Sus scrofa: one gene and its partner. The protein of the gene in region 2 interacts with the protein of the main gene of each other region in a pairwise test. Links are inferred from orthologs where the notes say so. Each region holds a gene or a part of one and is shown on either strand. Other genes may lie near its edges.

Evidence for each region.
Region 1: the proteins of CTNND1 (region 2) and ZBTB33 interact in binary tests that used the Homo sapiens proteins (3 or more experiments, as listed by UniProt). The link is inferred for Sus scrofa from reciprocal best matches to the Homo sapiens genes CTNND1 and ZBTB33.

Annotation. Positions count from the first base shown.
Region 1 is NC_010461.5:98,408,246-98,411,531, reverse strand, and holds part of ZBTB33 (transcriptional regulator Kaiso), read right to left. Parts: intron 2,772-3,286; 5' UTR 2,770-2,771; coding exon 751-2,769; 3' UTR 1-750. UniProt on the Homo sapiens protein: Transcriptional regulator with bimodal DNA-binding specificity.
Region 2 is NC_010444.4:13,206,144-13,210,600, reverse strand, and holds the start of CTNND1 (catenin delta-1), read left to right. Parts: upstream 1-1,369; 5' UTR 1,370-1,616; intron 1,617-4,457. UniProt on the Homo sapiens protein: Key regulator of cell-cell adhesion that associates with and regulates the cell adhesion properties of both C-, E- and N-cadherins, being critical for their surface stability.

The DNA of each region.
Region 1 (3,286 bases), on a different chromosome or scaffold from region 2:
GAGAACTTTTCATCTCCTCCTGTCTGCATTACAGATTTCCTTTAGTATTTTTGCCCAAGGAAACCACATTGCAAAGGTATATATACAACAGTCCAGCTACCAAAGTCTTTTCCAGACTATGGCAATACAAGCAAGATTTAATTCTGATTAGCTAAAACTAATTCATTTTTCAAATGAGAGACCTGTCTGCATGGCCATTTTCATGAGGGGCAGGAGGCCATTTGGACCAGCAGAATACACAGCCAAGACAACCAAGCAGAGACTTATTTTGAAAATTTCCAGGACAACTTTAAAAGTTCTTGTTTACTTTTTATGCCATATACAAGACACAACACACATTTATAGTCTCAATATTAAGAAAATTGAGAATTCAGCAGTAAAGTGCTAACACAGAAGGGGTAAGTTGCAAGATAAACTAGGGTATGTATGCTAATAACTCCAGTTATTTTCAAACATTCAGACTGCTTCAAATTCTATTCAGGAAACTATCTCTCCAAGCTTTTTTTTTTTTTGCCTCTTTTGAATGTGCTGAAAGCTAACTATATAAACAGATACTTGGGGGAAAAACTGCTCCATCTCTATTCAAACTTTCAGAATAACTTGCTTCTAAAAATTATCAACAAATAATCCAGCTAGACTACCTTCAGGTGACGTGGCAGATCCTATTAACTTGAGAACCTTTGTTTTACAGGTCTTCTGAAAGCCCTGCCCCCTAATCAAAACCAAAACTTTCTGAAATTTCAAAGGAGTTCAATAAGATTCTGGTATTATAAATTCAAACTCAGTACTGCCATCTGTTACATTCTGTTTAAAAATTGAATCATTTTCCTGCTGAATAAAAATATCTTCCCAGGTCATTGGCTTGTTCTGAGGAGCAGATGTGGTCCCTACTGGAGGTTCTTTCCCAGCATCAACCTTATACCCAATACCATCATCCTTCATTACAGGCATAGTGCCTGACCTATCAGAAAGGTATGCATATTGTCTGATCTGTAAAGACCTGCATGGATGTAAACGATAAAGCTTCGAGTCTCCAGAAGGATCTTGACTATGAACTGACTTTATGTGTGAAGACATAAACTGATAGTTGATGAAAGATTTGCCACAGGCCAAACACTGATACCTTCGCTCCCCCGTGTGATGAATTTCATGCTTTGTACGATATTCTGCAAGAGGAAATACCTTCTCACAGTAACGGCAAGGATACTTCTTCTCCCAAGAATGAATGTTAAAATGTCTCCGCAAGCTTGTCAGACAGACATACGACCTTTTGCATACAATACAGATATAATAGACCCTTCCATCTACTATTAACTCATAGTGATCATCATGTTTTACTTTCATACGTTTATTTGCCGTCTCACTGCTAGATGTTTTTGGTATCTCATTCTCAAGCCTGGCCTCCCCTTCGTCAGGGTCATCTTTGACAGGGATCACTATATCATAAGTATCTTCACCAATATTCGCATAAACCTTGCAACCCGTCGACAAGCCTTCAATTTCAGTAGCTGTATCTAAAGTAATAATCTTCTGACCCTCCGTGAGATGTTTTGATCCTAAACCTGGATCATTAGTGTTTCTAGTAATTATATCTGAAATTTTTAAAGAATTGGAAAGTGGCTCTTGCAGAAGTGTAGGAACCTGCATCTTCTGTATCAATGATCCATCAAAAGTGGTATTTTGGGGGATCTCAGCCTGTGGGACCAAAGATGTATTACTGACCGCCGAATCTGGACTGGAGCTAATAGTGTCATCATCATCATCTATAATTTCTTCCTCCTCCTCTTCATTGGCCTTGTTTCCTGTTAAAACAGCATTGTTTGGTGGCTGCTGATTCGGCACAAGTAAATTGATTGAAGGAGACATATGATTTGGAAGTGAAGAACTGACATTTGGTGGGTTGGTAAGTGGTGTCTGATTTAACAGAATAATGTTGGGAGTCAGATGTGTTGGGGCCGAAGATACCAGCAATTTTTCACTTCCCTGTGTTTGGCTCAGAGTTGCCTGATTCACAGAAGTAGGAAGTTTCTGAGGAGGCGTGATACTTGTTAAAGGGGGAGAGCTACTGCTCGCACAAGGTGCAACATCTGAAATAGCAACAGAGCCTGGGTTAGGCTGGGCCTGTGCCACCGCATTGTTACTCGGCAAAGTCTCCTTTGCAGGCAAAATCTCAGAGCAGAAAATGACGTCATCGTCATCATCATCTGAATCAGTAACAATGATCTTTTTTGTCTCATAATCTTCAGCAGATAAGGAAAAAGACTCTGTTATAATAGGCATTATAGTGGCCCCATTATCTTGGGCTTCATCTTTTGATTTCTGTATTTCAAGGTTCTTGTCACTAGAACCAGGAGGTAAGGTTTCTGCATTACCATCTTGAGGGGTACCTGAGATGCTTTTAACCTGTGACAATGGGACACCAAGCTCTGCTATAAACTTCACTCCTAACAACTGCCCTGATTTAATTAACTCATCAAGTAAATCTGATCTAACACGAACAATTTTAGAACTATAGATATAATTGAGAATTTCTGCAAAGATCTCTGCTCTTATAAAGCTCAGTTCAACAACTTGCCCGGCAACTGAGAAGAGCTGATGGAAATAAGTACTAGAAGCTGAAAGAATGTTCCTGTGGGCTCGGAATTTTCGGTCTTCCACAATAACGGTGACATCACAGAAAAGTCCATGGCCACGCTGCTCATTCAGGGAGTTCAGCAGACTGCCAGAGTATTGAATGTCTGTAGCAGAAATCAGTTTTCTACTCTCCATGCCTGTAAGAGAAAGGGAAGAGGAGGGGATGGGAGATTAGGAAAGAAAAACAAAAGTACTTCATCATTCAGAATTTGAGCTACAGCATCATTAAATAGTTTGTTCGTTTTAACCAAAGTTTGGCAAAACTTTTTGGTTTTTATATAAATTCTTTATACCAGCTGGTTTTTGGACCACACGTCAAGCTCACGACTCCTGCCTGAGAAGAAACAAGCAAGTTTTAAACTGATCTGCAGATCTGAACACTAATCTCTTTCTTTGTATCTGACACATGCATCACCACTAAGCAATTTTTAAACACATTAATTTTCTTAGTTCCAATTTTGAATTTTCTCCTCAAGAAAACTAAGAGTTAATTTTTAACTGTCTTAAAACTTTAAGAATCTTCATTAGGAACACTTAAAAGCTATTTCACCTATAAATGAATGATTTGAATGTCAGAGAGGCTTGGTGTGTGCAATACTGGGTCTGAAACATATGGTCTTGGAGTTCCCGTTGTGGCTCAGGGTTAACGAAT
Region 2 (4,457 bases):
TACTATATGGCATACATTGTTTTAAGAACTTTGTGTGTATTTTAATTACAACAGTCCTGTGAGATAGTTATTATCTCCATTTTATGGTTAAGAAACCGAGTCACAGAAAGGTTATATAACCTTTCCAAGGTCACAGAGGATATAGTACATTTACTTGAGTAAGTGTACTCACAGAGGAGGAAAATTTGAAGCCAGTCAGACTACAGAATCTATGCTCTTAACCCCTATTTTATTTATTTATTTATTTATTTTTGTCTTTGCCATTTCTTGGGCCACTCCCGCGGCATGTGGAGATTCCCAGGCTAGGGGTCGAATCGGAGCTATAGCCACCGGCCTACACCAGAGCCACAGCAATGCGGAATCTGAGCCGCGTCTGCAACCTACACCACAGCTCAGGGCAACGCCAGACCCTTAACCCACTGAGCAAGGCCAGGGATCGAACCCGCAACCTCATGGTTCCTAGTCGGATTCGTTAACCACTGCGCCACGATGAGAACTCCTATAATATAACTCTTAACTCAGAAAAAGAATACTTGTTTTTATCCTCTATTTAGGTCAAGCGTAAAAAGGGAATGGATGTCTTAAGCTTCAAGTTCACAAATAAATTGAATTTTCTAGACGTGAGACTTTCTTTTCCTTACACATGCTGTTATCTACTCTAAATATATTGCTTGTTTATGGGATATCATTTATTCTCCCACTCAATGCCACATTATTTTGATTTGGGGATAAATGAGAAGACTGATTTTCCTCAATAACCTAGAGGATTCAGTTTCCTTCTCATTGAAAGCATACACACTAAAAAGTATGAACAAGTCCAAGCATTTATTTTTTCCTAATCAGCCTAAATGCATTTAAACCAAAACAATGAAATTGAGTGTTTACCTCAGATATCCCCTACCATCCCATTCAAGACATTGTAGTCCTGTTTCTAGGATTTCTCTCTCCTTCCCTTCTTGTCTTCCTTTGGGAAAATGCTTTAGGGTAGAAAGCAACAAACTAAATAGCAGTAGGCAAATAAAATCAGCTTTTATTTGCTTCCCCACCCAAAAAGGAAGGAGTAAGAACCCCAGCATCAAAGAGAACTGACGCGCTTAGGCCCTGTCGTTTTAAAAAGCCCTTGTTCCCTAAGCCCCCTTCCCCTAACCCCCCAGCTCTGCAGTAATTCCTCAGAGATCGTACAGTCTCCACTTTAAATATAAATATATATAAAACTTCCCCCTGTCTCTTTTTCCCCTCCTCTCTCTCCTTTTTTTTTTTTTTAATTCCTATAATAAAGTTTCCTATTGGATAAAATCAGCTCCCTGATTTATGCCTGGCTCCGATTGGAAGTTCCCAGGGGCTGACATCACTTAGGAAAGCGAGGGGTAGGGCTGCCAGATCAGTTTGTCACCACCCAGGCTCCCTAGCCTTTGGCTGGGTGCAACTTCCATTTTAGGTGTTGGATCTGAGAGAAAAAAAAAGAGGGAGAGAGAGAAAGAAGAGCAGGAAAGACCCTGAAAGGAGGAAGAGGTGGCGAAAAATCAACTCCCTTGCTGGATTTGTCTTTCTCAGCACGTTGACGAAGGCTTGGGTTTCTTTCTTAGAGGACTGGTTTCTAGAAGTCCACATTTGAGGTGTGTGCCTTTTTAAAAATATGTGTATAGATGGGTGAAGGAGGATAAGCCAAGTCGAATTTTTGTCTTAAGGTAACCGGAGGGAATTTAGAAACAAGAGATTCTGTTACGCTGATGGGTAACTTTTAAGCGGTTATTAATTTTCCTCATTTGGGGAATTTTGGTATTATATTTGAAACAAAGTAAAATATTCAAGAACCAGGAACAAACTTCTGGGTCTCTCTAATATAGGGAGATGAATAGATTCGGAGGGGTGAGGGCAATTCTGTAAATTTGCATTTTGGTGTGTTCTTTTATTTCATATTTTTTTTCTAGGTTAGGCTAACAAACTTCTGTTTTCAGAGCCCAAACCAAAAGTTGGGTTTTTTGGCATGTTGCGTGTGGGTTGGGAAAGGAATTTGTCCGGGTCGGAAGCTAGTTATTCATGTTTTAAAACTTTTTTTTCCCTCCCTTTAATCATTGGATTTGTGAAAGTGGAAAGTTGCAGGGAGTTTTGCAGCTTAAATGGTGGTATTTTTTCCTCTGGAGTTTGAACAGCCCAGATCAGTTTCAGCCCTGCTGTTCCTGGGTGGATCCTTCTTTTACTTTTCCAGGTGCGGTGGGTGGGAGCCTCATTCTCCGGCTAGACTTAGCTCCCTGCTTTGCCTTATAAAAGAAAACAAATGGATCCATGGTAACTGAATCGCCATCTCCTTCCTTCTACAACTACCTTGATGGCAAAGGTTTGTGGAGGTGTAGGTTGAGTTGGCATGTACGATAACCCTTGGTTTCTGTGCTTAAAGGGATAAGGAAATTCTAATCATGCTTTTGCGTTCACCTGAGTAAAGTGGCGATACACATGAAAATATTTTGAGCTTTGTGCTCTCTGAAAGGGCCTTGGATTAAAATAATGATAGGCTAAGACTAAAATACCTATACCAACTTTAGTGTTTAGAAGGCATTTGAGAAAGCAAAAGGGGAATTCTTACTTTTAAACCAAACTGAAAGTTGTTTTTTGGAGGTGAGTTTTTCCTTTGGTTAATTAGCCATGAAATCAGAAATCTGTAAGAGCTGAAGGCTCATGACTGTGCTTTCATATCTTCTATTTAATCTTAAGATTAGTTTTTGTTTTGCAAATACATTCTTTCAAAAATACTGATTCTAGATAATTGTATAGCCAACTCATCAGTAACTGAAAACTGGATGTTTTCTTCCATCTTCTTTGAAAATGAGAATCAGTCTGAAAACTAACTGCAGTAGATACTGCCCTAATTGTAAAAAGATGGGCCTGTGTTAGCTGCTCATTAGCTTTAAACTGGTATGTATGTATAATAATCCTCTGATTTTGTGCCCCTCACCCCTCAATTCTTTTTAGACTAGAATACTTCCTTGGATTTCTTTTCCAGAACAAAAGTGTTTCTTGAAAGATGAGTTCATTCTTACAAGGTTGTGTCTTCAAGGGAAACAGAACTTTGTTTCTCCGTTTAATATAATTTATGCAAGAGCTACAGTAAGATTTTAATGTCTGTATAATTAGGAGTATCTCCTAATTATAGCAAGCGCAGTTACAAAGAAAAAAAGGACAATGTGTACAGTCCATTGGGCTGTAGTTCTTATTTCATTTCCAAATTTTCTTTCAAATGCTCTCTCTGCCTTGACGCCAGCCTAAGGGGGGTGGGGGGGTTCTTGGATCTTTGGAGGATTGGTCATGTTGCTGCCAGAGTGTTGGTTTCCCACTCAACCTTTAGGGGGAGGAATGAGGGAATTTGAAGGAGTACAAAGGCAGTTTGAAAATAGGTTCTGGCTGACTGAATGGTAGTAGTGCTTTGGGTCCAGCTTTAAATACTGGGCTTTGTGTAGCTGCAGTGAGCATTCTAGTTGACTAGCGACCAGGACTATTTCCACGAACTGAGGCATTGTTTTGACTGGGTGTGTACTACTGGAACCTTTTGGATGATAAGATGGAAGAAGACTTGTCTTTTACCTCACCTCTACCTGTTCTTCTAGGAGATATAATAAGGGATGTGAATAAGTAAATCTGTTATTTTTTGTTTGGCTCCTCATTTTGACTTGGGGGTGAAAAATGACGAGTAAGTATGAGTTGTACAGATTTTTCTTTGCTTGTGTGACTCCTATATACTGTTGGTTTCTTTGTTACATGACTAAGGTATGGCCTGTGTTCCAGGTGGGGGTCTCTTTTGGATGCTTAGAGTCCTAGTGCCTTTCCTAGAGTTCCAATTATGGAGAGTCAGGGGGTTAGAACATATTCTTTCAGCTAGGATAAAAATTGGAAACCTTTAAAAAAAAAAAAAGCTTCGAGTAATCGCAATTCAGCGTTAGGTTTATAAGGTAGTTGCTCTCTAGGGATGAGAGATGGGATGGATGTGCAAATACATTAAGCATGGAAATAACAAAATGATTAGCTTTGTATAATTTACTGCTTTCTATTTTGGTACCTGGTAGTCCCCTGTTACCTACTGCCAGCCCTCCCTCCCCCAACCCCCGGCTTGTTTTTTTGCTGAGTGCTAAGCATTTTGCATAAACTATTTGCTTAATTTTCCACAACAACCCTTTGTTGTTGTTGTTGTTGTTTGTTTTTTAAGGAATTTGAGCTTCAGAGAAGCTGAGGTTTGCTGAAAATTTTACTGCTTGTAAATGGCCAAGGCCAGGATTAAACCCTGGTCTGGACTAACTACAAAGTTCTTGGATTTAACCACTAAAACACTGCCATTCTCTAGGGAGGATAGAAACGAGCCAGAACTGAAATGAGCCCTTGCTAGAGGCGGGAGGGTTTCATTTTGCTGAGGGTCAGTGTTCACTTAGATTTCCAAGATCTCCGTGTTAGAGTAATGTATGTAAAAA